Oryctolagus cuniculus: one gene and its partners. The protein of the gene in region 5 interacts with the protein of the main gene of each other region in a biochemical or structural test. Links are inferred from orthologs where the notes say so. Each region holds a gene or a part of one and is shown on either strand. Other genes may lie near its edges. The genes, in order: OTUB1, PCNA, TRIM32, PJA2, ubiquitin-conjugating enzyme E2 D3, RNF4 and UBR5.

What was found.
Region 1: the proteins of ubiquitin-conjugating enzyme E2 D3 (region 5) and OTUB1 form a complex in vitro, tested with the Homo sapiens proteins (3 studies listed by BioGRID, with this or other methods). The link is inferred for Oryctolagus cuniculus from reciprocal best matches to the Homo sapiens genes UBE2D3 and OTUB1.
Region 2: of the proteins of ubiquitin-conjugating enzyme E2 D3 (region 5) and PCNA, one has a biochemical effect on the other in vitro, tested with the Homo sapiens proteins (3 studies listed by BioGRID). The link is inferred for Oryctolagus cuniculus from reciprocal best matches to the Homo sapiens genes UBE2D3 and PCNA.
Region 3: the proteins of ubiquitin-conjugating enzyme E2 D3 (region 5) and TRIM32 form a complex in vitro, tested with the Homo sapiens proteins (3 studies listed by BioGRID). The link is inferred for Oryctolagus cuniculus from reciprocal best matches to the Homo sapiens genes UBE2D3 and TRIM32.
Region 4: the proteins of ubiquitin-conjugating enzyme E2 D3 (region 5) and PJA2 form a complex in vitro, tested with the Homo sapiens proteins (2 studies listed by BioGRID). The link is inferred for Oryctolagus cuniculus from reciprocal best matches to the Homo sapiens genes UBE2D3 and PJA2.
Region 6: the proteins of ubiquitin-conjugating enzyme E2 D3 (region 5) and RNF4 form a complex in vitro, tested with the Homo sapiens proteins (6 studies listed by BioGRID). The link is inferred for Oryctolagus cuniculus from reciprocal best matches to the Homo sapiens genes UBE2D3 and RNF4.
Region 7: the proteins of ubiquitin-conjugating enzyme E2 D3 (region 5) and UBR5 form a complex in vitro, tested with the Homo sapiens proteins (4 studies listed by BioGRID). The link is inferred for Oryctolagus cuniculus from reciprocal best matches to the Homo sapiens genes UBE2D3 and UBR5.

Annotation. Positions count from the first base shown.
Region 1 is NC_091432.1:7,239,649-7,244,088, reverse strand, and holds the start of OTUB1 (ubiquitin thioesterase OTUB1), read left to right. Parts: upstream 1-1,530; 5' UTR 1,531-1,671; coding exon 1,672-1,825; intron 1,826-2,406; coding exon 2,407-2,468; intron 2,469-2,667; coding exon 2,668-2,766; intron 2,767-4,440. UniProt on the Homo sapiens protein: Hydrolase that can specifically remove 'Lys-48'-linked conjugated ubiquitin from proteins and plays an important regulatory role at the level of protein turnover by preventing degradation.
Region 2 is NC_091442.1:30,190,156-30,194,431, reverse strand, and holds the start of PCNA (proliferating cell nuclear antigen), read left to right. Parts: upstream 1-1,435; 5' UTR 1,436-1,675; coding exon 1,676-1,896; intron 1,897-2,741; coding exon 2,742-2,839; intron 2,840-2,990; coding exon 2,991-3,058; intron 3,059-3,932; coding exon 3,933-4,127; intron 4,128-4,276. UniProt on the Homo sapiens protein: Auxiliary protein of DNA polymerase delta and epsilon, is involved in the control of eukaryotic DNA replication by increasing the polymerase's processibility during elongation of the leading strand.
Region 3 is NC_091432.1:220,201,154-220,205,296, reverse strand, and holds the start of TRIM32 (E3 ubiquitin-protein ligase TRIM32), read right to left. Parts: upstream 2,880-4,143; 5' UTR 2,800-2,879; intron 2,661-2,799; exon of another isoform or gene 2,531-2,660; intron 2,384-2,530; exon of another isoform or gene 2,275-2,383; intron 1-2,274. UniProt on the Homo sapiens protein: E3 ubiquitin ligase that plays a role in various biological processes including neural stem cell differentiation, innate immunity, inflammatory resonse and autophagy.
Region 4 is NC_091445.1:32,043,304-32,047,649, reverse strand, and holds the start of PJA2 (E3 ubiquitin-protein ligase Praja-2), read left to right. Parts: upstream 1-1,391; 5' UTR 1,392-1,560; intron 1,561-2,191; exon of another isoform or gene 2,192-2,312; intron 2,313-4,346.
Region 5 is NC_091438.1:28,033,121-28,037,092, forward strand, and holds ubiquitin-conjugating enzyme E2 D3, read right to left. Parts: upstream 2,421-3,972; 5' UTR 2,248-2,420; coding exon 1,804-2,247; 3' UTR 518-1,803; downstream 1-517. UniProt on the Homo sapiens protein: Accepts ubiquitin from the E1 complex and catalyzes its covalent attachment to other proteins. In vitro catalyzes 'Lys-11'-, as well as 'Lys-48'-linked polyubiquitination.
Region 6 is NC_091433.1:1,253,873-1,258,001, reverse strand, and holds the start of RNF4 (E3 ubiquitin-protein ligase RNF4), read right to left. Parts: upstream 2,845-4,129; 5' UTR 2,685-2,844; intron 1-2,684. UniProt on the Homo sapiens protein: E3 ubiquitin-protein ligase which binds polysumoylated chains covalently attached to proteins and mediates 'Lys-6'-, 'Lys-11'-, 'Lys-48'- and 'Lys-63'-linked polyubiquitination of those substrates and their subsequent targeting to the proteasome for degradation.
Region 7 is NC_091437.1:127,607,055-127,610,714, forward strand, and holds part of UBR5 (E3 ubiquitin-protein ligase UBR5), read right to left. Parts: coding exon 3,539-3,660; intron 2,775-3,538; coding exon 2,701-2,774; intron 1,200-2,700; coding exon 1,027-1,199; intron 928-1,026; coding exon 814-927; intron 1-813. UniProt on the Homo sapiens protein: E3 ubiquitin-protein ligase involved in different protein quality control pathways in the cytoplasm and nucleus. Mainly acts as a ubiquitin chain elongator that extends pre-ubiquitinated substrates.

The DNA of each region.
Region 1 (4,440 bases), on a different chromosome or scaffold from region 5:
GTGTGGCTCATCTCGGCCCTCAGAGTCACGTGCCTCCAGCCCCTCTCCTAACCCCCCAGCCACTCTCGATTGTCCTATTAAGCCCTCGCGTGTAACGACCGCTTTCCCACAGCCGGGACACCAAGGGGGACGCCGTCCCTGGGGGCAGCAGGTCGCCAAAGCCACGGTGGGGACGGCGGTGCGGCCGGCTCCCGGTGCCCTCGCCAGCGCTCGGCACTGCAGCTGCAGCCGCCTGCAAGGGGTGCCGGCGCCCGCAGCTGGAGGAGCCTGCAGTGATTGTAGCTGAACTCGTCCTACGGGTCTCCATCACGCAGCCCGCAGTTCCAGCCCCAGAGAAAGCTGAGTCGGCTGCAGGAGGCTCGCGGCCACGCCGCGGAACTCGGGGGCTGGGAGAGCCGAGCACGCGGAGGCGCGGCTACGGGCGGCCGGCTCCCGAGGGGCCCCGCACCTGCGCCGCCGCGGCCACCGCCCGCGGGGACCCCGTTGCTAGGGCCGTTGCCAAGGAGGGGCCGCCAGGCGGGACTCGCTTCCGGGAGGAGGGCGGCTGTAACCCGGAAGCGCTCGGCGGTGCGGCGCTGTTTAAAGATGGCGGCGGAGGAACCTCAGCAGCAGAAGCAGGAGCCGCTGGGCAGCGACTCCGAAGGTGCGGACCGCGGGAGGGGTGTCCGGCCCGGGCCCGCGGCGGCAAGGCCGGGCCGGCTGTTCTCGGGGAAGGCGGCGGAGGCGGGGCGGCCGGGGCGGCCGCGACGCGCGGACGGCCGCTGCCTCCGCGCCTCCCTGCCCCCTCACAATGGAAGGCGCTCCCTCCGCGACCCCCGGCCGGGCGGGGCGGGCAGTCTCGCGGCCTGGCCGCCGGCGCGCGCCCGGGGCGGGGCCTGGGCCGCCCCGCCCTCCGCGCCGGGCTCCCGGGCCGGGGCCCCCGTCGGGCCGGCCGAGGCCTAGGCCCGGACCGCGGCGCCGGCGTTCGCTCACGGCCGAGAGGCGTCGAGCAGCGTGGAGGGCCGGCTCGGCCGGGTGCGGTGTTGTGGGCGGCGCTGGCCCCGGAGGGGCCGTGGGCGTCCGCCCCTTCGGACTTCGGCCGTTTCCGGTAGAGCCCCCTCTTCTGGCCTGGCCGCCTCTCTCCGCCCGCCCATTGTTTTCTTAGACCCCTGAGGACGTGGGTGCCTTGGAAGTGGCCCCACCCGCCTCCTTTTCCGTCCGGGCGCTGGGCCCCGGGGACCGAGCTGGGCATTGGGGGTGGGGGGTGGGGGTGGCGGCGGATGCAGAGCCGCGCAGGGCACGGGCCGGGGCCCAGCTGCGTTAACCCTGCAAGAAGTCGCTCAGCGCTCACCGGCACGGAGAACCGGCAAGCCCAGGCCCCAGCAGTGACTTGTTCAGGGTCACAGAATTTAAGAGCGAGCCAGGATCCGAATCCAGGTTTCGCGAGCCCTGCGCATGGGACTTCTGCAGAGAGGGGGCCCTGCTCCTAGAGCACGCCAAGGTACCCCCCCCCCCGATGCAGCACTTGGGGCGCCCGGGGCTCGGCGGCGAGGTGGCGGAGCAGAGCGGGGCTCGCTGGGCATTGGACACACGTGGGCGTGACCGCAGGTCTCTACTTGCCAGGATGACTTCACCCCTCTGCCTTTGTTTTGCTCTTTGGAAAATGGGCACCATCAGGGGTACCGTGGGAGGATGCGGAAGTGCAGGCCCCCAGGAAGCTCTGCCCGCAGCCCCCTGCTTTCCCCCCAGGAGACCTCGCCCTGCCCCCGAGCATTCCTGGGCAGGCCAGTGCTGATGGACAGCAGGGAGGAAGGCAGTGCCAGCTGGGACAGTGGACCCTGGGCCGGTGCCGGGCGGGACAGCGGACCCTGGGCCGGTGCTGGGCTGGGACAGTGGACCCTGGGCCGGTGCCGGGCGGGACAGTGGACCCTGGGCCGGTGCTGGGCTGGGACAGTGGACCCTGGGCCGGTGCCGGGCGGGACAGTGGACCCTGGGCCGGTGCCGGGCGGGACAGTGGACCCTGGGCCGGTGCCGGGCGGGACAGCGGACCCTGGGCCGGTGCCGGGCTGGGACAGCGGACCCTGGGCCGGTGCCGGGCTGGGACAGCGGACCCTGGGCCGGTGCCGGGCTGGGACAGCGGACCCTGGGCAGGTGCCGGGCTGGGACAGCGGACCCTGGGCCGGTGCTGGGCTGGGACAGCGGACCCTGGGCCGGTGCCGGGCGGGACAGCGGACCCTGGGCTGGTCGCCTCTTCCTCTCTTCCTCTCATTTTAAAGATGAGGAAGGATTTCTCCCAGTTGGGCACAGCTCGGGAGGAGAAGGGCGTGGGACGCCTGCCCCTGCCGCCAGCTGCGCATCCCTGGCCCAGCTGTCCGCAGCGGAGGGGCCAGGACGCCCAGTCATCCCCGGCTCCTCGGCCTCTTCCAGGTGTTAACTGTCTGGCCTACGATGAAGCCATCATGGCCCAGCAGGACCGGATTCAGCAAGAGGTGAGGGGCGTTCAGCGGGGGGGGCAGAGGCCGGTGACCCGGTCTTGGGCGAGGGCCGGCCGGTCTGAGTTGTCTCTCCCTCGGAGCGCCCTCCTCCTCGGGCTGGGCGGCACTGCACGGTGCTCTGTCCCGCGTTACTGGGTACCCAGCCCAGCCCTCTGCCCCTGCTCCAGCGTCCTGGCTGTGTTGCCCCCCGCAGATCGCAGTGCACAACCCCCTGGTGTCCGAACGGCTGGAACTCTCGGTCTTGTACAAGGAGTACGCGGAGGACGACAACATCTACCAACAGAAGATCAAGGTGGGCACCGGCCGCAGGGCCAGGACTGGGGCTTGCCGGGCCTGTGCCCTGGGGGGGGCGGTTCTGGAGGTGTGCCGGCTCTGGCCCAGAGACCTTGAGCCAGATGCAGGTCCCGCCCCTCAGCAGCGGTGTCCTGGGCAGGTCCTGAGGCCTGTGTGCGGCCAGGTGTGTGCTGGGCGGGGCCTCCCCACGGCTGAGGCTGCCCCTCAGCCCGCCTCCTGGATCTGCTGAGGTGGGTGGCTGTGGGTGTCACCAGCCAGGGCCAGCCCCTCCCCTCCCGCGTTCTGAGAGCAGAGCGTGACGGGTGTGGAGGTGTAGTGAACGTCTCCCCACAGTGAACCGGGGATGCTTGGAGCCTTCACCCGAGGAGAGGCCTGTGGGCGCAGGTGGCCTGGCCACGTGGACAGCGGGGCCCCCCTCCCGTCGTGGGCAGTGGCAGCCTTGCAGCGAGAGCGAGTGTCCGCCCCTCCTCTGCCCTGGGGCAGCTCCAGTTTGCCAAGGGGAGCCAGAAATAGTGAGGTCCCCCTGCGGCGGTGGGCAGCTGAGTAAGAGTCCACGTGTGGTCTGTGGTGGACACGTGGCCGTCCCTGGGGGGCCTGCGGGGAGGGGAGCCACGCTGCGGCAGCAGACCCCTGCGGCTTCCTGCTGCTGTCGGTCTCTGGGAGGAGGGGCCTTCTCCCTCGAGGGGCAGCTGCGGGCTGAGGGTGGTGCTGGCCAGCGCCCCGCAGCGCCAGTCCCGTGCGGAGGGGCGTGTCCCCGGGCCGCATCTCCAGGCTGCCTGTCCCACTGTCTCCCGTAGAAATCAACGGGGTGGGCTCCAGGTCACTCGGCATGTACTTGAGTGTCATAGGAAGTGATTGGGTGTTTAGGGCGGGTATTTGAGTGTCGTGGGAAGTGATTGGGTATTTAGGGTGCTCAGAGGCTCTGCTGGTATTGGATGTGGGTGAGGCCCAGATGGACACCGGGAAGCCTGGGTGGGGCGAGGCTGCGCGGTCACACCCCGGCCCTGTAGGCCAAGATGCCCGGGCTCTGAGGCAAGGGGGAGGTAGCTGGACGTGAGACTCAGCTGGAGTGGAGGGCGGACATCGCGTGGGTTTACATTTGGGGCTGTTGAACTTGGGCTCGATGCTGTCGTGAGCGTGAGCGTAGCTTGTTGCTGGAAGCCGCGTGGGGCACCTGCTGCACCATGCGTGGCCTGCGTTCCCTGGCAGGCGCCCGTGTGGGTATGTGAGGTGACCCAGGAATACTGAGGAAAGGTGCAGTGTGGTTTGGTGGTGGCCTTGACCTTCGGAGGGTGGAGGGGTGAGGAGGGTCTGCCTGGAGTTCAGGGGCGACAAGGACCCGTGGGGTCATTAAGGACCCGGACCTGGTGACCCCGGGGGCAGTGCTGCCCGGGGTTTGTGACCTTGGCTGGAGCAGGTGCCTCCTGTGTGGGAGAGCACGGGGACCGTGCACCTGGCCGCTTTCCAAAATTCTGCCGTAGAGAGGGAGAGGACTCGGGCTTCCGGCCTTCTGAAGTGAGGGCTGCCTGTGTGTCCCTGCGCAACCGGGACTGGCCGTGTGTCCCTGCGCAACCGGGACTGGCCGTATGTCCCTGCGCCGACCGGGACTGGCCGTGTGTCCCTGCACCGATGGGGCTGGCCGTGTGTCCCTGTGCCGACGGGTGTACGCCAG
Region 2 (4,276 bases), on a different chromosome or scaffold from region 5:
CTTTGCCCCAAATAATTTTTTTTTCAATATCCTTTCATTTACTTGAAAGTCAGAGTGATAGAGACAGAGGCAGGGAGAAAGAGAGAGAGGTCTTCCATCCGCTGATTTACTCCGCAAATGGCCACAAGCAGCTGGAGCTTGGTCAATCCAGCGCCTGGCCAATACACAGCCAGGAGCCAGGAGCTTCTTCCAGGTCTTCCATGTGTGTGTGTGGGCCCAGGAATTTGGGGCCATCTTCCACTGCTTTCCTAGGCCATAGCAGAAAGCTGGATCGGAAGTGGAGCAGCCGGGTCGCCCATATGGGATGCCAGCACTGCATGGAGCGGCTTTACTCACTATGCTACAGTATTGACCCCTAAAATAAAATCTTCTATCTGGGGCCAGAGCTGTGGCAAAGGGGGTAAAGCTGTGGCCTAAAGTGCCAGCATCCCATATGGGCGCCAGTTTGAGTCCTGGCTGCTCCACTTCTGATACAGTTCTCTGCTGTGGCATGAGAAGGTAGTAAAAGATGATCCAAGTCCTTGGGCCCCTGCACTGGCATGGGAGACCCAGAAGCTCCTGGCTCCTGGCTTTGGATTGGCGCAGCTCCAGCCGTTGTGGCCATCTGGGGAATGAATCAGTGGATGGAAGACCTCTCTCTCAGCCTCTGCCTCTATAACTCTGCCTTTCAAATAAATAACTCTTAAACACACACACACACACACACACACATCGTCAAGAAATACAAGCATTTGAAAGATACCGATCTGTAACACTAAACTTTTCACACAACTGAGCACGGATTTAAAAATGAGACTTTCAGTATCTGTAGTCAAGAAAACATAGGAGATGAGCACGCTTACACACACGATCTTTAGAAGCCAACTAGTAATTTATCTGAATGAGTATACTCTTCATTCATCACTGCTACTTCAGGGAGTTGAACTCACAAAAGCACCCAAATGCCCAAAGGTGTTCTTAATAACAGGAATTGGTCATTAGGTCGCATACATGGGACGTTACGGAACCTTTATTAAGTAAATACCGAAAAGATGTTCGTGACATACTCTGTTGGAACGTGAACGTATTTCTTTTTAAATATCTTTTTATAGAAGAAAGTGTAGAAAACTGTAGACAGCAAACAGTTGAGAGATTATATGATCTTGGTATGTGTGTGCTGGGAGCCAGTGATTCTCCCCTCAAAGCGAGAGGCTTAGAAACCAACACAGCGCACCAAGCTCGACGGTCACCCGGTGCTTCGTCGCCCAGACATGTCTGGCGTCCGCCCCAGGAACTAAGAAAAACGCGGGGCGGCTGGCAGTGCGTCACCCTGTCGGCCTCCGAAGGCGCGCTGTGCGCCTGCCCCGCCCCCGCTTCAGCAGCCTCCAATGACTGCCTTTCGGGGGCGGGCTTTGCGCGGAGCAGGAACACGATTGGTCCTCAGGATCCCTTCCGCCCAGCCGGTGGGCGGGGAAGCGTCGTGACGCCTTAACACGGGGCGCAGGGGCGGAGAGCGCGCGCTTACAGACGCGGCGGCATTAAACGGTAGCCGGCGCTGCGAACCAGTCGTCGTCTTTCGGGGGGTCTTGGGTACACGCCGCTGTATTCGTCCGCTCGTCCTGAGCCTCGCGAAGAAGTTTCAGCCAGAACTTTCTCCTTTACTCGCCTGCAGCCGCGACACTGCGACCCCGCCACCATGTTTGAGGCACGCCTGGTCCAGGGCTCCATCCTGAAGAAGGTGCTGGAGGCACTCAAGGATCTCATCAACGAGGCCTGCTGGGACATCAGCTCGGGCGGCGTGAACCTGCAAAGCATGGACTCGTCCCACGTCTCCCTGGTGCAGCTCACCCTGCGCTCCGAGGGCTTCGACACGTACCGCTGCGACCGCAACCTGGCCATGGGCGTGAACCTCACCAGGTAAGCCCGGGGCTCTGGCCCACCGCCATCCCCGGCTCTTGGCGGGAGCGCCTTCGAGGCGGGCCCTCATTGGCTGGGGTGGGCCACCGGCGCCTTCTCATTGGCCTGCCACGGCGGGAGGCGGGACCCTGGGGAGCGCGCGGTTCCGAAAAGCCCGCGCTGGCCGCCGCGCGAACCGGCTCTTTTCCGCGCCAACGTCACAAAAGCGAGTGGTGGCGGGAAAACGCCTGTCGCGGAGCGCTCTGCAGCCCGGAATGGGGAAACCTGTGGTCGTGTTGACTCGCACTGCGTTGTTACGTGCTCTCGTGGCAACGTGTGGCTCTGTGTCACCCTTCTTGGGCCACATGATGTTTCTGGGTCTTTATTACACGGTCGCACTGAGCATCCTAAACTGGATTTGTCCTGGGGACATTTCCCCGGGGCATTGGCTTTCAGCTTCCTGACTGCTCCCTGTCTGGTCCGTGTATACGGTTAAGTTTTAAAAGGCTCGAGAGAAATAACTCCTAGTGCGTGGGGCGTGTTTCAGGTTTGTTAGCTCACTTAATAACGGTCGTCGTGGCCCACTAATTTACTAAACCCACTGGAGGGATTTACAGTGCACAAAATACTGCTGTTTATGTGTTACACCCAGAGCTGAAATTGCTGGTGTGTTCCGGTGTTAAGTATTAGTAGGACCGGGTTGCCTTCCTGAATGGTGCTGGACCCCTGAACCCAGCCTCCAGCCAGTTTCCCCTCACCTGTCTATCACACAGCCTGAGGGGTGGGCATGGTAGCTCCTGATTGCGCTCGGAATCTAGATTTAGAGCAGATGGTGTTGATTGCAAACCGTATCTTGTGTGTTGTAGCATGTCCAAAATACTAAAATGTGCCGGCAACGAAGACATCATTACACTGAGGGCTGAAGATAATGCGGACACCTTGGCGCTAGTATTTGAAGCACCAAGTAAGTCATAACCTTGTACTGAGTTATGCTATAGGGAACTAAAATCTCTCTTGATTCTCAGCTGTGAGAATTTTAAATTTTTTGTGATGGTCGTAAAAATTTACATCATGATTATAAAACATTTTTCTTAACATTTGCTTTCTTTTCGTAGATCAAGAGAAAGTTTCAGACTATGAAATGAAATTAATGGACTTAGATGTTGAACAGCTTGGAATTCCAGTGAGTATCAGCTTCTGATTGCACATAGTCATCAGTTACTTAAGATGTGTTAATATAACCTAATGCCTACTGCCTATATATCTAGATTTTCTTTTTTTTTTTTCAAAGCAAGATTTGTATATTTGTATGACAGTTGTCATTTTACTAAACTGTAGCAGCCTAAAACTGACTGTGGGGTGAATTCATTTTTTGCTGTGGAGTGCTTACTTGCATTAGCCTCTGTGCGTCTTTTTTTTAATTAAGGGTGGGCTTATCACCATTAAATGAGAACAGCTGTTGGGAATGTTTAAAATGTAAAATGCATAATGTGTTTTCACTTTTAAGTCTGCCCCATCACTACTGTTCGAAACCCTAATATCCTCTTGATTTGGCTCTGGAGGATCATTAAGAGGTTCTTGTATGATTATTATGCCATACTACTTTTAGTTGGAGTGTGAGTCATATACTAACCAGTTTTTAATTAAAGATTTGAGAAGCAAAGTGGCAAACAGATGAAAAGAGATCTTCCATTCACTAGTTCACTCCCTAAATGGCTGCAATACCTAGGCCTGGCCCAGGCCAAAACCAGGAACCTGGCATTCCCTCTAGGTCTCCCACAAGGGTAAAAGAGGCCCAAACACTTGGGTCATCGTTTGCTGCTTTCCCAGGTACATTATTAGCAGGAAGCTGCATCAGAAGCAGGGCAGCTTGTATTTGAACTGGCATTACAGTGTGGGCTGCCTGTGTCTGCAAATGAGTTTAACCTGCTGTGCCACAATACTGGTCTCTAGTAATGTTTTAAAGAAATCAGAAAAACCTGAGATCTGAGTTTAGACGTTTGCTTAAGAGTGAGGATGTCAGATTTCCAGCAGTTAATGTTAAGTTTGTTTTATAGGAACAAGAGTACAGCTGTGTAGTAAAAATGCCTTCTGGTGAATTTGCACGTATATGCCGAGACCTCAGCCATATTGGAGATGCCGTTGTAATATCCTGTGCAAAAGATGGGGTGAAGTTTTCCGCCAGTGGAGAACTGGGAAATGGAAACATTAAGTTGTCACAAACGAGCAATGTTGATAAAGAAGAGGAAGCTGTAAGTAGTAAAGTTAGATTTAGCATTTCTCAAATATTTTGGAGAATTGTAATGTCCAACAAATTAGGTTAATTATGAAAGGTAAAAATAAAAATGCATTCCAGGTTACTTGTGAAAATTGAAAATATTGCTACTATTTGAAATCTGCA
Region 3 (4,143 bases), on a different chromosome or scaffold from region 5:
CCCAAGTGCTCGGGCCCTGCACCCGCATGGGAGACCTGGAGGAAGCACCTGGCTATTGGCTTCGGATCGGCACAGCGTGCCAGCCATAGCAGTCATTTGGGGGGTGAACCAACAGAAGGAAGACCTTTCTCTCTGTCTCTCTCTCTCACTGTCTAACTCTGCCTGTCAAAAAAAAAAAAAAAAAAAAAAAAAAAGTGACAAGACAAGTACTTGTCCAAAGTCACAGAAAATTAGCAGAGTAAGGAGTCTGGACTTCTAGCCTCTGATTCCCAGATGGACTGAATTCCCACTATACATTTTCCCAAGCACTGTATGTGGGTATTTTAGTTATGTCTCTTGCCCTGGACCCAGTCCAGCTTTGTTTCTGAGCTGGCTTCAGCAATGCTGTAGGTAGTCCTAAAGCTATACCAGGGGAAAGAAACTTAAAAGAGATCACTCATAACAGTAATTATTTTCCTGCAGGAGGGCTGCCTTAAGCCTCAGTACCTGCTGGAAGGTGTTTTTGTCAAGTCCAAGTCAGTGGCCTCCATACCTCAGACTCTGGTTCCCTGTACATCCATCCTGCTACCTTCAAGTTCCTCTCCCTATCTACCCACTGGTCATGGTCTAAAAGCAAACCAAGTACAAAGATTAGGGATCCTCCATACCTAATCAGAGATAGTTTAGCCTCATCCGTTACCACCCTACCTTTAGAATTCAATTTGATATGCAGTGTACTCACTGGGCAATCTTCCTTTTTAGTAGTGGGGAATGGGCCAAGTAAGTAAGACTAAGCAGGCCCACACAAGGAAGAAAGAAGCAAAGAGAAAATGTACAGTTACAGAGATCTGGATGTTAGTTTAACTTTTACCCAGTCTAGCTAAAAAACCTTAAGTAAGCCACTTCTTAAGTCTTAGTTCCTTCATATGTAAAACTTATATTCAGGAAACTGTTATTAAAACTAAGGAAATGTATACACAAACCAAAAACTACTGAATTCTAAGCACTTACTATGTACTTCACACTATGTATACCTTCACTGAATCTTCAATATATGATGACATAGGTCCTGTTATACTCATTTTACAGACCAAGAGCCAAGGCACTGGGAGGTTAAGGTATTCACTCAAGACCACACAGTTAAGAGATACAGCCAGGATTTGAACGCAGAATATTGACTACAGAACAGTCACTCAGTTTTAGCACTATTAACATTTTGGCCTGGATAATTCTGTTGGGGGCTGTCCCATGCATTATCAGATGTTAACAGCATCCCCAGTGTCTACCCACTACTGACCATCCCAGCTGTGACAAAGATGTCTCCAGACATTGCCAAATGTCCCCTGGGGACAAAACTGCCCCTCATGAAGACTACTTCTTTAGAGTCTAGCAAAGGACCAAAAGTTCAATATAAAAGAGTTTTCCTTTTATTGTTTCTCTCCCATTCCAAACAGTTCTTTTGCAAAGCCACTGCCTCTTCAAGCTATAATGGACCTTACACAGGATGAATTCCACTCATTTCCCTGGAGTTTTCATATTGTCATTCACAACTTGGGGATACAAGGAAAGGAAAGCTTAGGCACATGACCTTGTCATTTTCTGCTTCATCACCCCTTTGATCACTCTTCTTCCTACCAATGTTAGCAAGTCAAAGTAGAGATAGTGGCAGCACCATGCCTGCCTCATCAGGGAACTCTGGCTAATAACTGAGGAAAATTCTGCCCCTCACAAGAAAAGTAAAAGCACCTTCATGACCTACGAAGGCTCATGACTGTTCCTCAATTTCATACATTTATATAATTTCTTTTGGACGCTCAGGTGCCCAGAACACCCTCTGCTTCCCGTGCAGGGAGTTTAGGAAAAAAAAAAAAAATCCTTCAGTAGCCCAACACCAGCCCACAAATCTACTCAAAGTCTTTTAATTCATGACATCGCCTCTCACCCCTCCCCCCTTTCAATCCTCTTAAAACCCTGTTCCCAACCATCTTGCTATACAGAATTGCAACCTTTTGGGCTCTATATTGCAACCCGCACCGATTCTTCCTTCCTGTGCCCCATATCCCCCTGACAGTCTTTAATCCGTGTTTCCAAAGCTCTGGAGCCTTCAGCCCTGCACCCCGATTTCTGTCATCGTTTCACCTGAATCTCATCTCCTGCATTCCACCAGGCACTGTGCGGTCCCCAAACCCCGCTACGTTCTTTCTTACCTAAATCTTGTCTCTTGTGTTGCTTTCAAACCTTAGCCTAGCCCCCTTCCTTTTGCTAACAAGATACTGCTTGTCCCCAAGAACTCACCTCCTCCATTTCCCCCAGATAGCGCTCTGCAAATTCCTTTCTCTTTAGCAGTTAGGTTCGCCCTACACCTTCTCCTTCCAATCTTAGATCTTGGCCCCCGCCCGGTTCCCTCAAATCTCCTGAGATCCTCAAATCTCACCAGGGCCCTGTGTCCTTCCTGTTTTTGCAATTCTACACCCAGACCCCTCCAGCACCTCAGATTCCCTCCCATTTATCAGACGTTGCACCCCCTGTCTCCTCAAGGGTCCCACATTACCTCATATCTCCCGAGATGCTGCAACTGCGAATCTTCTCAGAGCCCCTGGCTCCCCTCCCCCAGCTAGCTACATCTCCTCGCAACTCCTCACCCCCACCGAATTTCTCCCGAGACTGCCCCTCACAGCCCCACCCCCACCCAGGTTTTGCCCTCAGATCCGGTACCCACACCCTGCCAGTTGGCTGCGGGCCTCCAACGCGGCCGCTCAGCCACCGCCCGCGACTCAGACCACGATCCTTCCTCCCCCTACCCTCCTTCCCGCCCCCTACCTGACCGCCCGCGCCTCCGACGCGTCCGCCGCCGGCAGCCCACCGCTCGCCGGTTTCTGCGCACGCGCGGCGCGTGCTACTCTTGTGAGGCAGCAATTCGCAGAGCGACCTGTCCGTCATTTCGCCCCCACCTCCCCCGGGGCATGCTGGGATTTGTGGTCCAGCCAGTGCGAGCGCCCGGGCTGGGTATATCCTCCGTGACTAGCTCTTTACCGAAAAACGGTGGCACTTAGCAACTCAAAATACTTTTCTGGTGTCTTTGAATGGGTTAGAAAGCTGAGGCCCACGGGCGAAAGGCGCCTTCCCAAGTTCACTCAACTATTTGGGAGCTAAGCCAGAACTCACTTGTTTGATTCCAGTCTCAAAGTCTAAACCTCTGCACTAAACCATGCCCTGCATGAGTGGTCCTCTGCAAAGCCTTTGCACTCCTCAGAAAGGCCTTTCTGAACCTCGGTTGCCTCATCTGAAAAATGGACAAAGAAAGACTAAAACTTGCATTCTGCGCAAGCACAGAACCTGCCCACCTCAGAGTGCAGCGCCCCGGGCAAACCTCTGACTCACCGCACCAGCTGCTGGAGGAAGTTTTACCTAATCAGATTATTCTCGGTAAAACCTTTTGCCTCTCCAGCCTACAGCACAGGTTGTCCCTGCAGACTGAAGCTACCTAGGAGCCCAAATCAGAGTCTAGCTTTTGCGGGGTGGGGAGACTTACCAGGTGGTCTGTGGTCCCCTCTACTGGAGTGACCTATAGTCCCTGAGGTCACGACTGTACTGGGTAGTTTAGGAGCACAAAGGAGTGTGAAGTAGGATAGGATTGCATTTGAAATTCCACTTAGCTGTGTTACCCTGAACAATGATAAAACAGCAAACAAAAATGGTACCAAAACATCTTGGAGCACTTCTTGTCTGCCTGCATCTGACATACCTGGCTCCTTTAATACTTATAAGGATTTTCTGAGATAGGCAGTTGATGCCTAGGTGATTCAATAGCAAAGCCACTTGTTCCTAAGTTTCAGAGCCCAGATTTGAATACAATTCAGAAACCACTTTTTTTTTTTTAATTATTTACTAGAAAGACAAGAGTGATGGAGGGACAGAAAGATCTCCCATCTGCTGGGTCACTTGCTACATGGTAACAACCAAAGGCAGAAGCCTAGACCTCTATGAGGGTCTCCTATGTGGGCGTCAGCGACCTGAGTACTTGAGCCACCTCCTCTGCCTTTCCAGGCACACTGGCAGGGAACTGGATCAGAGGCAGAGCAGCAAGGACTCAAAATAGGTGCTCTGATGTAGGATGCTAGCGGACCAAGCAGTGGCTTAGCTCACTGCACCACAATACTGGCC
Region 4 (4,346 bases), on a different chromosome or scaffold from region 5:
CTCAGCTGCTGCGCTTCTCATCCAGTTCCCTGCTAACGCTCCTGGGAAGGAGGCGGTGGATGGAGCTCCTGGCTCCTGGCTTCCCTCTGACCCAGACCTGGCTGTGAAGGGCGTTTGCAGAGTAAACCAAGCAAATGGAAGCTCACTCTCTCTTCCCCCTCTCTCTGTAGCTCAGCCTTTCACATAAATAAAACAAGCAAACTTTTCTTTAAAAATACATTTATTTAAAGAAAATAATAAATAAAAGTGGAAATCTCAGAAACCCCGCCCACCCAAGGAAACTAGTGTTTTCAAGCAATCCAAGATCCCACCGGGAAATTAGGAAATACAATGACAACATGAATTCTTTCTCAAGTTGTGAAGGAGCTGGGTAGAAAAAGACTCCAAGCTCACAGAGCAGCACGTGCGAAGGCAGAGTTAAGTACCAAGTGGGGAACGGGTTCTTGCAAAGATACTCACAGGTACTCCAACGGCTGCGCTGGGAATCAGACTTGCTGCCACAAAACACGCAGCAAGTTCCCACAAAACCAACTTTCTACAGTAAATTACGGATGATTTGTTTCCATCAACAAACTAGCGTCAGGTCCCTAACAGGGGCTGTCACAGGGCTGGAGGCGCGGGGCGTAGGGAAGCGATCGACCCATCCCGAGCGCCGCGGCCAGGGGCAGGGGGAGCGGACGCGCAGGTGCGTTTCAGGGCGGCGACGCGTGGCCGAGTGCGGGACGAAGCGGCGCTCGGCATCGCGGGCGTAGCCAGTTACCCAGGTCTAAGCGAAGCCAGGCGTCCGGGGACTACCGCGGGCACTGCGGCCACGGCTTAGCAGGGACCAGGCGGGTCTCCCCCAGCAGGGGCAGGGCCTGAACTTCCGCCAGGTTCCCAGTCGAATCAGGACCGACCCGACGGCTCCATCTTGGCGGCCGCTCCCGGAATTCGTGATAAAGTCCTCACTGCGCCAGCCCTGCCCTCCACACCCCCCTGAGCTTTCCCGGAGACCCGCCCTCTCCCAGCCCGCACCACAAAAGGCTGTGCCGCTTCAGCACCGCCCCCTGCCCAAACGTCGCAGTGCTGCGGGGCAAGGAGGCGGAGTCGGGCGCCGTCTTCCCGCTCCTCGACCAATCGGCGAGGGCCCCCCCCCCACGAAAAACAAGACGCTGAAGACAGTGCGAGTATTTTTCCCTTTTTCTGCCACGTCCCAACCATTGACGCGAGCCCACTCCTCAGGCTCCCATTGGGCGTGCGCGTTCAGCCCCCGGCAGAGGCTCCTGATTCCTATTGGCCGGCTAGAGCTCGGGGGCGGGGTCCGCGCGCCGTGCTCCGCCTCCTCCTCCTCCCCACCGTGTCCGCCGCCGCGCAAGGGGCGGGACGCGCCGCCGCCACCTCTGCTTCCGCCGCCGCCGCTACCGCCGCCGCGCCGCCGCCGCCGCCGCCGCCGCCGTGCCGCCGCCGCAGCCGCCTGCTGCTGCGCGTTCGGCGGGGGAGGAGTCGGAGGCGGAGAAGAAGGCGGTGGTGGCGGGTGGAGGATCGAGCGCTGTTCTCGCTCCGGAGCCGCTGCACATTTCGGTGAGGGGCTTTTTTTTTTTTCTCCTCTCCTCTTTTTTTTTTTTTTTTTTTTTTTCTTTTTAAAATCGGGCTTGTTCGGATGTCAGCAGTGTGGGGGTCGGGGCGAGGAAATGGCTGCCTTCATCTGCCGTTCTTGCCTCTCTGGAGCAGGAGCGGGGCCTGTCCCCGGCCCGCAGCGCCGGCCATGGTGGGTGGGGTTGATGGCTGGGAAGAGGCCTTCCTCGCCTCCTGGGCCCTGTCCGCGCCGGGCCGGGGGCCCCGCGGACGCCGCGTCCCCGACGGATGGCAGCCCTCGGCGTGGTGGTGGTGGTGGTGGTGGTGGTGGTGGTGGGGTCTCCGCCGGCCGCTCTTCCTCGGGCCTCGTCTGCTGTCCTTGGTGCCCCGGCCAAGGACCCCGCCGCCCTTGTCCCCACGCTCGCGGCCGGGCGAGTGCGCCGCCCGCCAACGCCTCCCACCCGCCTGCGGTGCCCACCGGGCGAGCCGGGCCCCTGACGCCGCAGGCCTGCGGCCCCCTCCCCCCGAAACCTGCCGTGGCCGTTGCCGGCCGGCTGCGTGTGCGTGCTTCCCGACGGTCACGGAGGCCCCGGGCGCAGACACGCCGTGGGCAGCGTAGCCGTCGGGGTCCCCCGGTCCCGGGAGCCCCTTGCCTGGGCGCCGCTGCCCGGGAGCGCGCCTCCGGCGGGCCGCCGCACCGCCGGTGCTGGCCTCCCCGGGACGACTGCTAGTTAATCATTTTGCGCACTTCCAAAATGGTGAGTTTAAAGCCGCTCAGACCCAGTCGAAGAGAGGGGGAGGCGGTCCGATAGTGTTTTTGCAGGGTGCAAGAATAATCGGGGAGGTTTCCCTGGCTTAGACGTAACAGAAAAATTACATCTGCATAGGCACTGCTCTGAGTCCGCTGGTTCTGCGAAGTTGACGTTTTTCTTAAAAAAAAAAAAAAAAAAAGGTTCACTCCATTCTGTTATTTTTATCATGAAATGTTTGGTCCCGCTTCTTTAAAATGGCAGTCACCTTTGCTAAAGGCTGCAGATCAGCTGAAGAGTATGTAAATAAAAGCTAAGATAACAGAAATAAAGGTCTCAACTTTTTTTCGACTTTTGTCGTTTGTCTGGAATTGGTTTTCAATTGTGAAATAACCACTTCATTTCTGTTGTTAATTACAGATGTGCAAGCTTGGTGTACAGTCTGAGATGTAAATAAAGGACTCTTAGGTGAAATGTGAAAAATTCTTCTCCTCCCCCAGTCTCACTCCAGTAACTGGACTTAACAGTTTACTGTTAATCTTTCAAAATTTCTTTTACAAATGCACTTTGAAACACGTGGACATCAGACATGCACAGTGCGTTGGCCTTTTTTCTTGAAGTGGGAGTATATCCAGCACTTTTGTCCATCAGTCGTTTTTTTCACCTGATTGTACATCTTGGCCGAGAGTTTCCTGGTCGTGTGTGGCTCTCTCCTAAAGGCTTGGAGAGGAAGTGGTAGTTCATCAGCCAATGGGCTGTTACTCAAGCAGCCAGCTTCTTATTGGAAGACGTTTAAGTTAATTGCAGTTTCCTTTTTCAGTCACAAATAATGGCTTATAATGAAGTCCACTTTCTGATTTATTGCTTGATGTTTAATGACCTCCCTTAGAGCCTTGATTTACAAATTTTCAAGTGTGGAGGCCTGGAAGGTAAGAAGCACACCTCCCACTTCTTGTCCTACCTGGCATCCTAAGAGTAGTCCCTGAGAACAAGTCAGCAAACTTCCTGTGTGAGCTGATTTCTGGAGCATGGATTCCTAGGAACGGAATTACTTAATTAAAGGGTGGGCATATTTAAATTTTTGATAACCATTTATCTGTCATCTTTTGAAAATATTTTCTGCTTAAGCTTTTTCTCCTACTAGACAAACTTCAGACTCAAGTAAAAAGTATCCTGGGCTATATTGTATGATGTTGTATTGAACTTTTAGATTAATTTAGAGAGAGCTGACCTTTACAGTATGAGTCTGTCCCCTTGGAAGAGGTGTTCTCTCCATTTTATCCACGTGTTCCTTCATATTCTTAGGGAATACAAAATTTTATAGTTTATCTTTTGCCTTACATATGACATTCTGAATATTCCTAAATGTTTTGTAGTTTTGATTGTTGTGGTAGATGGTTCAATAACATTTTTCTTCTGGTTATAGGAAAGTATTTGAATTCCTAAGTTTATCATGTAGCTAATCATTTTATTGGGTTGATGATGATTTGAAAATCTTTACTGTTTCGTGGTTTCCTTTCCAGTGTTGATAACCTAATGAATTTCCCTCATTGCTTTATCAATCATAGCTACTATCTAATGTTAATAATAGCACTAGTAGTGAAGCATTGGGTGTTCCTGACTTGAAGGGGAATGCTTCTGTTTCAGCTTTTATTAGGGTGTTTGCTGAAGCTTTCTGATCAGTAGCCAGTATTAAAAAATTTCCTTCTATTCTTGGCTTTCCAACATGACTCTACTGTTTTCATTTTATTAATGTTTTTGATAACCATAAATAGGTATTGAGTTTTCTTGGATATTTTTGACAATTTTTGTGGGGAGTCACCACAAAAAAATACTGGTGTCACCAGTATTATCTGGTTAATATTTTTCTAAGAGAGGTTAAATTAACCTTGAGGCTACCTTCAATACAATAAAATATACTTATTTGGAAGTAGAGCTCATTTTGTTTGGATAAATGTGTGCTCATGTCACTACCGTCACAACTGCACAAAATATTTTTGTGACCCGATCAGGATAGAGAAGATTTTCATCTCTCTTTAAAGT
Region 5 (3,972 bases):
AAGAGAGTGGGAATATCAGTCAGACCAGGAGAGATATTCTATCTGCTGGTTCACGTTCCAGATGCCCACAGCATTCAGCGTTGGGTGAGGCCAAAGTCAAGAGCCTTGAACTCAGTCTGGGACCAACTCCTTGAGCCATCACCAGTGCTTCCTAAGGTGTGCATTAACAGGTTTCTGGAATTGAAAGTGGAGCTGTAACTCCAAACCAGACACTCTGATATGAACACAGGTGTCTGAAGTGGGGACTTAACCATTGAGTTTAATAATACTTTTAATCTTCTACCTGAAGTAGATTTTTTTCAGTTATTCTTCCAGTGAGTATCTGTGGTTGGTAAATTTTCTCTTTGTCTGAAAATATCTTAATTTCTTTTTTTTTTTTTCAATAGCATTTTATTCATTCATGTTAAGTCACCTGAAATGATCTGTTTTAAATGCTCATTAATGTAAATGGCTGAACAAATCCATTTCAATGGATACTCAATATCCCACATAGTTAAGTCACTTCAACACAGCCTCATGACAACTCCCACACCAAAACAGTACTTTATTTTGTAAATTTTGACCCATTATTACTCCCAAGTTATGTTTTTATCAGCTGTCAAGTGTACAAGGTGAAGATAAGTTTTAGTTAGATGGGGCTACACCTGGAAAATAAATTTCTTAAAACTCCATATACACGCTTCAAAACTGCTGGGTCCCAAGTCCATCTATGAACTCCAGGGCTGCCAGTATCACGGTGCAGCATATTAAAGCTACACTATCTGAATAGCTTATTAATTCTGCATAAATCAGGTCAAGCAATGTGTCAACCTGTAACAGACTGTGCACTCTAACTGAACATGGCAAAATATTCATTCTTTTGAACTTTACATCATCATTTGATGTCAAACAATGAAGCAAATCCCAACAGTATATACAAAAAACAGCTTTGCATTTACAAAAGATTGTTTCCTATACTGATTAATCCAGGCAGCTAACTCATTGGTTTATGCAACTTTATTGAAGAAAAATAAATCAATTACTAGCAGAGCTATTAGTTGATCACTCATCCATTGACAACTTGCATCATTTATTCAGTGCTATATTAAACAGTGTATTGGAAGATAGATTAACTAATAGCTCCAAGCCTCCTAACAATTTAAATGAAAATTACAAAATGTTTGAGACCCTATTTTGGAATACAAAGGGTGTTTGACTTTCAATTTCCATTCTCTGTAGAACAAGAACAGGTCATTCCTTTATTGACATGCATAAAATACATCACATTTTCTGTTCTGCTGATGCTATAAATTCAATACCAATTCTCCAGCCACATCAGTTATGAGCATAAAGTATATCATGTAACCTCAAATCTCTAACAGTGGAAGGCTTAAACAAGAATGGATGCTGCTAGAATAATGCTGCTTCCTTTGATGTGACAACTGAGCATCCATCTCCCTCCCTCTCAGATGATTTCTTCAGCATGTTAGAGCAGTGAGGAATGGTTTTAGTCTCATAACCAAGTTAGAGTGAAGACATTGGCCACATAATACACATGCTCCATTTTTTTAAAAAATTCTGAATCTTGGGCAACTGTTCTCTTGTAACTACTTTACAGTTTCTAAAAGCAGTTATTGTCCAAAGCTGGAAGAACTTAAGTCTTCTCAGATGAGCATGTGAATGAATGGAGGGAGGTAAACAAAAAATAAAATTAAAAAAGATGAGGTCTGATAGGGGAGCAGCCGGATAAGAAAATCAAAAAAGGAACAGTAATTTAAAGTTTATTCCAGCTATAATGCAGGTTATTCTGACTTTAAGGTAGCATCACATGGCATACTTCTGAGTCCATTCCCGAGATATTCTGTTGTACTTATCTCTGTCTGTTTTATAGATCCGTGCAATCTCTGGCACTAGGGGGTCATCTGGGTTTGGATCACATAGCAGTGAACAAATGGATAAAAGAACTTTAGAAATAGTTAAAGCAGGAGACCACTGTGATCTTAGAATATCGAGACAAATGCTGCCATTACTGTTAATATTTGGATGATAAATTCTTGTTGTAAATGCAACCTTAGGTGGTTTGAAGGGGTAGTCTGTAGGAAAATGAATTGTCAAAAAGAATACACCGCCTTGATATGGGCTGTCATTAGGTCCCATAATTGTGGCTTGCCAGTGAAACATATCATCCCCAACTGGACCTGCAGAACATTGTGCTGGAGGGTCACGGGCCAAATCACTAAGTTCCTTATTAATCCGTTTCAGCGCCATAGTCTGTGCTTTTAGTCTGGCTCCTCTCTCCCTCTCTCGGTGTATGCTCAGAGGTCCGGCCAAAACTCTTGATTATCCGGGCGGCGGGGAAGGATTGTCTCTTGGTCTCACGCCGGCTCTGCCAGACACAGGCGCTTGGTATGGAGGCGGCGGGTATCGCGAGAACGACGTGGACGGCTCGAAAATATCTTAATTTCATCTTCACTCTTGAATATTGGTTAAAAATGCTGTGGAGTTTTAGTTTGATAGGAATTTTATATTGAGTAAATTTCTCCAAATATTTAGCTTATCATACTACTGAATCGGTATGCTTTCTAATTGATCTTTGTCTTCCTACCTTCTGAGTCTCTTTTCATGACAATTTGTTTTTAACAGCAGTTAACTTCACAAAGGGCTCCATTGTGAGAAAGCAAAGGAAGATGGATAAATTCAGTTTCTACCTTCTCTTGCTGCAGTCATATTTCTTTCTTCTACATTCATTGTTTTCCTTTCCTGCCTGGAAGTTGGGTGCCTGTGGCAGACTTGAGATCTATATCACAACCTTATTCATTCCCTGAAAATTTGGCCAAGAATGGTGTGAGGTGGAAGCAAATAGAGCATTTCAGCTGTGAGAGAAAAATTATTGGCGTAAGGAAACAAATGTAATGAGCCAGAAACTGGATCAAGCTATACCAGCATGAGAAATAGTCACAACATCTAATGTGACCCGCAGAGATAAACAAGATTTGACAAAGGCATTTTGTATGCACCAATCAGTCTTTCAGCTTATTCAGGAATTAGGGCCTGAAATATAGAGATCTTAGAACACTCAGAATCCTTGACCAGACATAAATAATGAGTGCCCATTTACAGTGGAAGAAAATTAGTTCTATAAAACTGAGAGACTTGCCAATATTAGCTGCCAAATTAACAATATTGAGGAGCTCGATTCAGTCATTGCCAGTCTCTCCACCAGGACCAAACATCCTGACTTTTTCAGCACATGAGGGGTTATCAAAGCATTACCAAGATGTTGGCACTAAGAACCAGCCTCCTGTTAGATGCATTAACTCATACAAGTAACAAAGGAGGATTCCTTAGCCATCCTCTTCCATTTAGTTTTCCCTGAAGCAACGAAAATTCTAAAAGACAGATGAATGAGCTCTAATAGCACATTTTGTTTAGATTTATTTTCATTTCAATTCTTACATGCACCAACTACAAATCATCTCCTGCATAGGTGGTGAAATTGCTTGATTATAAGCCAGAAAGAACCAGCTTGCTGTAAGATATTTTGAAGTCCTATGACGTATCATCACCCTTCTAACAGGGATTACAATAATAGCTGGTACTTACTGAATCCATATTGTGGGCTTGGCACTGTGGCATTTAACATAGGGTGTTTGATTTAATCCTCACAACAGTCATACAGCATGTACACTACCATCATCTTCATATTGCAGAAGAGGAAGGTGAGGTTCAAAGAGTCTAAGGAATCAATTTGTCAGGGTTACTCTATGTAAAAGTGGTGGAAATGAATTTATAACAGTCATATCTGTTTGATTGCAGTTAAGAGTCTTCCATGTTAACATCCTGAAATAATTCCATGAGAAGTTCCCTGTTCTGTTTGAGATCATCTGCTGTGTTTCCATTCTCATCAGAATTTATTGAGTAAAAGTGATGCAGGGTGGCGCCTGCATTAGAAAAGACTCCATGTTGCTCGCACAGAAAACCTAACTGAAGCTG
Region 6 (4,129 bases), on a different chromosome or scaffold from region 5:
CCTGCGTGTGTCTCCAGTCTGTCTCATCTCTCTGGATCCTGCGTGTGCCTCCAGTCTGTGCCATCTCTCTGGATCCTGCGTGTGTCTCCAGTCTGTGCCATCTCTCTGGATCCTGCGTGTGTCTCCAGTCTGTCCCATCTCTCTGGATCCTGCACGTGTCTCCAGTCTGTCTCATCTCTCTGGATCCTGCGTGTGCCTCCAGTCTGTGCCATCTCTCTGGATCCTGCGTGTGTCTCCAGTCTGTGCCATCTCTCTGGATCCTGCGTGTGCCTCCAGTCTGTCTCATCTCTCTGGATCCTGCATGTGTCTCCAGTCTGTCTCATCTCTCTGGATCCTGCGTGTGCCTCCAGTCTGTGCCATCTCTCTGGATCCTGCGTGTGTCTCCAGTCTGTCCCATCTCTCTGGATCCTGCACGTGTCTCCAGTCTGTCTCATCTCTCTGGATCCTGCGTGTGCCTCCAGTCTGTGCCATCTCTCTGGATCCTGCGTGTGTCTCCAGTCTGTGCCATCTCTCTGGATCCTGCGTGTGCCTCCAGTCTGTCTCATCTCTCTGGATCCTGCATGTGTCTCCAGTCTGTCTCATCTCTCTGGATCCTGCGTGTGTCTCCAGTCTGTGCCATCTCTCTGGATCCTGCGTGTGTCTCCAGTCTGTGCCATCTCTCTGGATCCTGCGTGTGTCTCCAGTCTGTCTCATCTCTCTGGATCCTGCGTGTGCCTCCAGTCTGTCTCATCTCTCTGGATCCTGCGTGTGTCTCCAGTCTGTCTCATCTCTCTGGATCCTGCGTGTGTCTCCAGTCTGTCTCATCTCTCTGGATCCTGCGTGTGTCTCCAGTCTGTCCCATCTCTCGGGATCCTGCGTGTGTCTCCAGTCTGTCCCATCTCTTGCCACACTTCCTGCACAGTCTGTACTTCAGTGTCAGGGACTTTCTGGGTCTCTCAGCCCTTAGCTCCAGGAGAGGCACCACATTCCTATTTTGTTCACTGTTGTAATCCACTACTGTTTGCTTCAAAACTGTGCTCAGAATATTAAAGTGTGTCTTCTGAAAGAGGGTGAAAAATCCTACTTATTTTATGTATTAAGAACAGATACATGGGGGCCAGCGCTGTAGCGTAGCAGGTAAAGCCGCAGCCTGCAGTGCAGGCATCCCATACGGCCACCGGTTTGAGTCCTGGCTGCTCTACTCCCCATGCAGCTCTCTGCTGTGGCCTGGGAAAGCAGTAGAGGATGGCCCAAGTGCTTGGGCCCTGCACCCGTGTGGGAGACCCGGAAGAAGCTCCTGGCTCCTGGCTTTGGAACAGTGCAGCTCCGGCCGTTGTAGCCATCTGGGGAGTGAACCAGCAGATGGAAGACCTCTATCTCTCTACCTCTCCTCTCTCTCTGTAATTCTACCAAGTGAATAAATAAATCTTTAAAAAAAAAAAAGAACAGATATATGTACAGTACACAAAGGACATACCATAGGAGCCAGCACTCTGGTGTAGCAGTTTCAGCCTCCCAAATGGAAGCCACTGGAATCCCAGCTGCTGCACTTCCAATCCCAAGCCCTGCTAATGCGCCCGGGAAGCAGATGGCCCCAGTGCTTGGGCCCTGGGCCGCCTTGGGAGACTCAGATAAAGCTCCTGGCTTCCACCCAGCCCAGCCCTGGTTACGGCGGCCATTTGGGGAGTGAACCAACAGATGAAGATCTGTCTCTCCCTTTCTCTACAGATGTTCACAGAATAAAAACCAGACACACAGTATGCCCATATACGCGGCCCTAACGTCATGGCGGCGAGCAGTCGGGACCCTCTTAAGCGTCATTAGTGAGGTTCCGGGTCAGGACTGGAAGGTCAAGTTCAAGCAACACAACGACCCCAAACTCACAAGCAAAACCGACCCAGAGCAAAAAAATCCCCTTCAACGCCGCCGCCTCCCACGGCCACACGGCCCGCACTCCGGGTCCCGCAGCTAGAACTCGGCTCCACCGTGCGACCGCGGGCCGCCCGCCTCACCCCCCAGGACCCCGGCACGGCTGCGCAGGCCGAGACCCCGAGCGTCCGCGGGCGCCGCAGGAAGACAAAAGCTGCATCCCGCAGGCGCGGCTCGCCCAGGCTCGGCCCTCCCCGCCCGAGGTGGACGCTGGTGGGCGCCCGGGGGTCCGCCGCGGGCTCCTACACGGGCCTCCGGGGCGGCGGCCACACGCTGCACCCGGAAGCGCGGGCTCCCCGGTTCCAGGCCCCGCGCCCAGCCGAGCCGAGCAGCGCGCCCGCCACGCGGCCAGGCGTTCCGGCGAGCTCGCGGGCCCCCGACGGCGGGCGGCGGCGCCAGCACAAAGGAGGACACGAGCCTTCACTGCCTCCCCGCCGCCGGCAGGCCCGGGCGCCTCTCCCGTGACCTTGGGCGCCCCGGCCCGAGCCTCAGTTTCCCTCTCGGAGTTCCGAGCCCGGTCGTGCGGCCGCGCCGGGGGAGCCCCCTAGACCTCCTCTCCCGCGCCCAGCGAGGCTCGGGACGCCGGCGCAGGCGGCGGGGCGGGTGGGCAGAGGCGGCCCGAAGTCCCGGCAGGCCCGGCCGGCCACGGGGCCCGCAGCGGGTCGCGCCGCGCTGGGCGGCCGCCGGAGGCGCGGACGCCGAGGCCTGGACAGGCCGCGCGAACGCGGCGTCTGCTGGGCCCGGCCGCCGCTCCCTCCCCGAGGAGCGGGCCTTACTCGGAGCTGCTCCGGTCCGGGAGGCACCGCCGCCACTGTCCTGGAGCGAGGAAGCACCTCTAAGCCGCTGAGGAGAAGCCCCCGAGCCAGGCGCCGCCGCCTCCACAGCAGTCCACTTCCGCTCCCGAGGCCCAGGCCCCGCCCCCCGCGCGTCCCCAGTGGCCGCCGCCTCCCCTTCGCCCGCGGCTGCCGGGGAAGGAGCCCTGTTTCCAATTCTATTGGATAAGGAAGACGTCCATTACCACTTTGAACCGCGTCGCTTCCGGCCCCGCCCACGCTCGCGCGCCTCAGCCCCCGCATTCCCGCGAGAGAGCTTGTCCGCGCCGCGCCGCCTGCAAGGCCTGTCGGGAGTTGTAGTCTGAGGGTGGTCCGAGCGCTTGGCCCGCGGCAGCTGCCCGCCGACCCCCGGTGACCCGCTCTCCGGAGCCGAGGGGGCTCCGAACGGTCCCGGTCCTGCGCTGCCACCCCGCACAGCAGCCACCATGGCGCTAACTTACGAGGCCGGCCGGCGACGTCAAGCTGGACGTTGGTCCAGACCAGACGTTGCGCCCAGCTCCCCGGGCCTGTTTCCTTGCCTGTTAACGAGACCTTGGAGAGGAATATTCCCGGGGCACGAGCTGGAAGCCGGGCCTGGATCAGCGCCGCCTGGTACCAGGCCCTGGACGGGGCGGGGCGGTCACCGTCCCCGCGAGGACCGGGCCCAGTCCCCACTGGCGAGCCCAGAGGGGCCCTAAACCGGCTTGTCTGGGAGGGCTGTCCAGAGGAAGCGAGCTTGGGGCCAAGAGCCGGAGTACCGGGCGGAAGAAGCAGAGAGTTGGGCAGGAAGCAGGGAGCTGGGTGTCCCGCAGCCTGGGGAGGGGAGTCAGGGTGTCAGGGGCCGGGTGGGCAGGAGGGGTGGGCGAGGGCCCGCAGGGAAGGCACCCCAGGACCGGCCTGGAGAAAGGTGTCCTCCCAGCCCCGGGCGCGGGCGGAGCCCTGGATGCCTCCTGCGGGCATCTGAGCCCCCGGGTCTCAGCCTGCCCTCACCTGTGATCCCCACACCGCCCTGGCAGGTGTGAGCCCCGCGGAGCTCCAGGCCCTGCGCTGGAGCCGGGCCTGTGATGCTGAGGCTGGCTGGACCCCTGAGTCCCAGCCCCGGCTCTTCCTTCCTAAACTTCGCTCTGAGTTGAGGCAGTGGGCACTTATCTCCCCTGCAGATAGCATCTGGACCCTAGGTCTGGCCTTGAGGGATTTTCTTTCCAGGAACTACTATGAGGGGTGGACAGGCAGGTGGGAGGTTAGGTCAGTACCCACAGGCATTTTGTCAAGGCTACACAGAATTATCATCCCTGCCTTCTGACTAGCTGTCACGCTGTTCCTCCACCTCTGGTTAGGTCTAGGTCTGGTTTTCAGAAAGGGGCCAGAGAGCCTTCATTTAAAAGGCAGTCATGGGGCCAGTGCTGTGG
Region 7 (3,660 bases), on a different chromosome or scaffold from region 5:
TTCAAGCCTCAATTTCTTAACCAGGAAAATATTACTTTCTGCTCAGAATGCTTGAAAAGATTCAGACAGTGCCCAGGAGATAGAATTAACATCAATAATTGTTAGTTATTATTAATACTATTTTATCAATCTACATTCTTGATTCAAATTACTTTAGCAAGTTAGAGCAAAGTTTTAAGCCAAGATTCAATAGCTCAAATATTTATGATGTTTTTATGTATACAAAAACTTAAATTTTTAGCATACACCAATACAGAAAAAGCTGGGAAACCTATTTTATGGATTAAATACCTGACAAAGCAAATCAATAACAGTGCTGGAATTCCTTTCTTTCACAAGGCAAAAATTTCTGACATTTCCATTATTTTAGTGTAATATTCCAAAGTAATGTATATCTGAAAATCTAGATGCTGGGAAAACTGTGCATTTAAAAATGTTATAGTGATGGGGTCAACACGGTGGCATGGTAAACTAAGCCTTGGCCTATGGTGCAGGCATTCCACAGGGGCACTGCTTTGTGTCCCGGATGCTCTACTTCCAAACCAGCTCTCTGCTTATGACCTGGGAAAGCAGTGGAAGATGGCCCAAGTGCTCAGATCCCTGCACCTGTGAGGGAGACCTGGAAGAAGCTCCTGGCTCCTGGCTTTGGATCGGCCCAGCTCTGGCACTTGCAGCCATTTGGGAAGTGAACCAGCAGATGAAGACCTTTCTCTTTCTCCCCTTCTCTCTGCAACTCTAACTCTCAAATAAATGAAAACTTAAAAAAAAATTAACAACAAAAATGTTATACTGCAAAGACTTTTACTATCTTACCTCAAGGCAGTTTCTGTCTACTGTAACTTCCATTAAGCATTTCCCACTATTGGCAGATGAAGAATAAAGACCCTGACTCGGACGGCCAAAAAGATCCTCCTTTCTTGCATTTGGCTGGAATTTTAACAGAAACATTCTCACTACATTCAGTATTTAAAAGAAAATACAGTCAATTAGAAAAAACTTTAAAACTAGTTTGTTCATTCGATCCACCTGCAACAGATGTGGCTGATCAGCCAAGGGAATGGCTTCAGCTAGAGGCACTTCAAAGGGATTTGGGGGTATACACCCAAGGAACGTCATAGAGTCAGAACGTCGGAAAAATGGATGGTTTTGACCAGTTTCTGCAGGAAGAGAGTCATCATCCTTATCATTCAAAGTAGCACCTAAACAAAGAAAGAGAGATAAAATGTTTGAAAAAGTTAATTATTACGGAAGCATAAAGGAATCTATTCAACCCAAATATTCCTTTCTTCTTTCTAAAATTTTAATACCACCCCAAAACAAGCTAATAGTATACATTCGGACAATATTTTTCAAGTATTAATTCAAAATATAGCAACTTAATGTTGTAATGATAAATTTTACATGTAAAATGTATGTTATATGCATCTTGCAATGCTTAAAAAATGTAAAACAAACAAAAAAGCAGTAACATATATTCCATGCTTTATCAGACAGGTTTCCCATATCCTCTTCTTCATCTCTATAGACTCAAACGAGAGCGAGGGTCCTCACTGCTCATGCCAAAAGCAGGAGATGGCCAGGAACTACCATCTGAGCACTGGCTCACCACAGAAAACAAACAGAACTTTCTGGGCAAATCAGACCCCACCAGTAAGCAAGCAAGCTCCCACCAACTCTCCTGAATGCAAGGATTTTGGGCAGGAGTTAGCGTGCAGGCAGACCAGCAGTGAACTAAATGGCTGAGTTCTCAACCAAGAGCGGTTAGGGCAGTTCTTCCCCAAGGCTGACTAAAAGTCCCACATGTTTTAAAGACCTTTACACCCCAACTGACGTAATAGCTGAGAACTAGGAGTACCTACAGGGGATTACAAAATCTCATGGTATTAAAACTTCGGAAGAAAAATCTGGAGTGTGGAATATTTTCTCTCCTCTCATCACATTAACAGCTTTGAATATTTGGGAGTTATAACCGGTATTTCTCAACTTCTTAAAGAACTCTATTGTGCATCAATATTAATAAAGGCTTCTCTAAGACTTTATTTAAATTTGGTTCCTACATACTTTACTTATGAGTAAAGGTAAACATAAAACTAACAGAAACACAAAAGATGAAGTAGCAGGGCCAGTGCTGTGGCACAGAGAGTAAAAGCCCCAGCCTGCAGTACTGGCATCCGTATGGGCACTGGTTTGCATCCCAGCTGCTCCAGTTCTGAGCTAGCTCCCTGCTAACGAGCGTGAGAAAGCAGTGGAAGATGGCTCAAGTCCTTGGGCCCCTACACCAACGTGGGAGACCCGGAATAAGCTCCTGGCTCCTGGTTTCAGATCAGCTCAGCTCCAACAGTTGCAGTCATTTGCAGAGGGAGTCAGTGGTTGGAATACCTCTCTCTCTCTCACTGTCTCTACCTCTCTAACTCTCTCAAATAAATAAAATAAAAAGAGGAATTCCTCTCATTTAAAAAAAAATGAAGTAGCAAAAAACATCAACTGTTGAAAAGTTTGCAACATTTAATTCATCTTTAGTTATGAAATATATAATGTAAGAATATATAAGGAAAATGGATAGAAAAGGTAAGAAATGGGATATAGAGAAGAAAAGAGAAATTCCCACCCAGACAGAAAACAATGAAGTTAAAAAGCTTGGAGGGGAAATACTGAGGCAGCCATTTCTTGAAGTAGATTAGCAGATTTTCGTGCACTAACTTTGATTGGTGTCATCATCATTTTCATGTTCTGAATCTTCATTATCAATACCCAGTTCCAAGAGCTCTCGTGTCCTTTAAAAGACAAATGAGTCATTTTACATGGAGAATTTGTGTAATATGAATAGGAGGAAAGGTAAGGAGAATTACCAGCAAAAACAAAACAAAACAAAACAAAAACAAACACAAAAAACCCACAGAAATGGTCATCTAAGTAAGTATCTTACCAATTTAAAAGATTGTTACCAAAGAGTTGCAGACTCTGGGAATGGTACTCATGTGGTACAATACAAAATGGAGTCAACAGAAGCAAAAACCAAAAATCATCCAAGAAATAGTGAGTGCCTACATTCACTATAATAGAAACATGATAATCAGGCCAAACTACCTCGAACATGAAGTTTAACCAACTCTTAGGCTTTCCGTTCTACATGGACTACTATAACTGACAGAAAAAGGCAGAATATACTCAGACTAACTTTCCCACATGAAAATGTTCCTGCACTACTTTCTTTGCAATGCTGTTCTCCTTATTCCAAAAGCTGACAATATAATAATGGAGACACACCCATCAAGGATGTCTTAAATCAACACGGTAGGGGCTGGTATTGTGGTGTAGCAGGCAAGGTTACTGCACGTGACAACAACATCCCATATGGGCACCAAAAAAATATCCTGGCTGCTTCACTTCCGATCCAGCTCCCTGCTAACGTGCCTGGGAAAGTAGCAAAGGTTGGACCAAGTGCTTCAGCCCCTGCACCCACGTGGGAGACCCAGAGGAGCTCCTGGCTTGATCCTGATCTCGATCTAAAAAAAAAAGAAATCACAAGTATAGCCACCTTTTGCGTTCCAGCTGAGGTGTATCCAATGTTGTCTGCTGGTTCATTGCTTTAATCCAATAGATAAGGGCTTGGAAGACATAGGCCACATGCTTTAATGAGCAAACATCCAGAACTGGAAG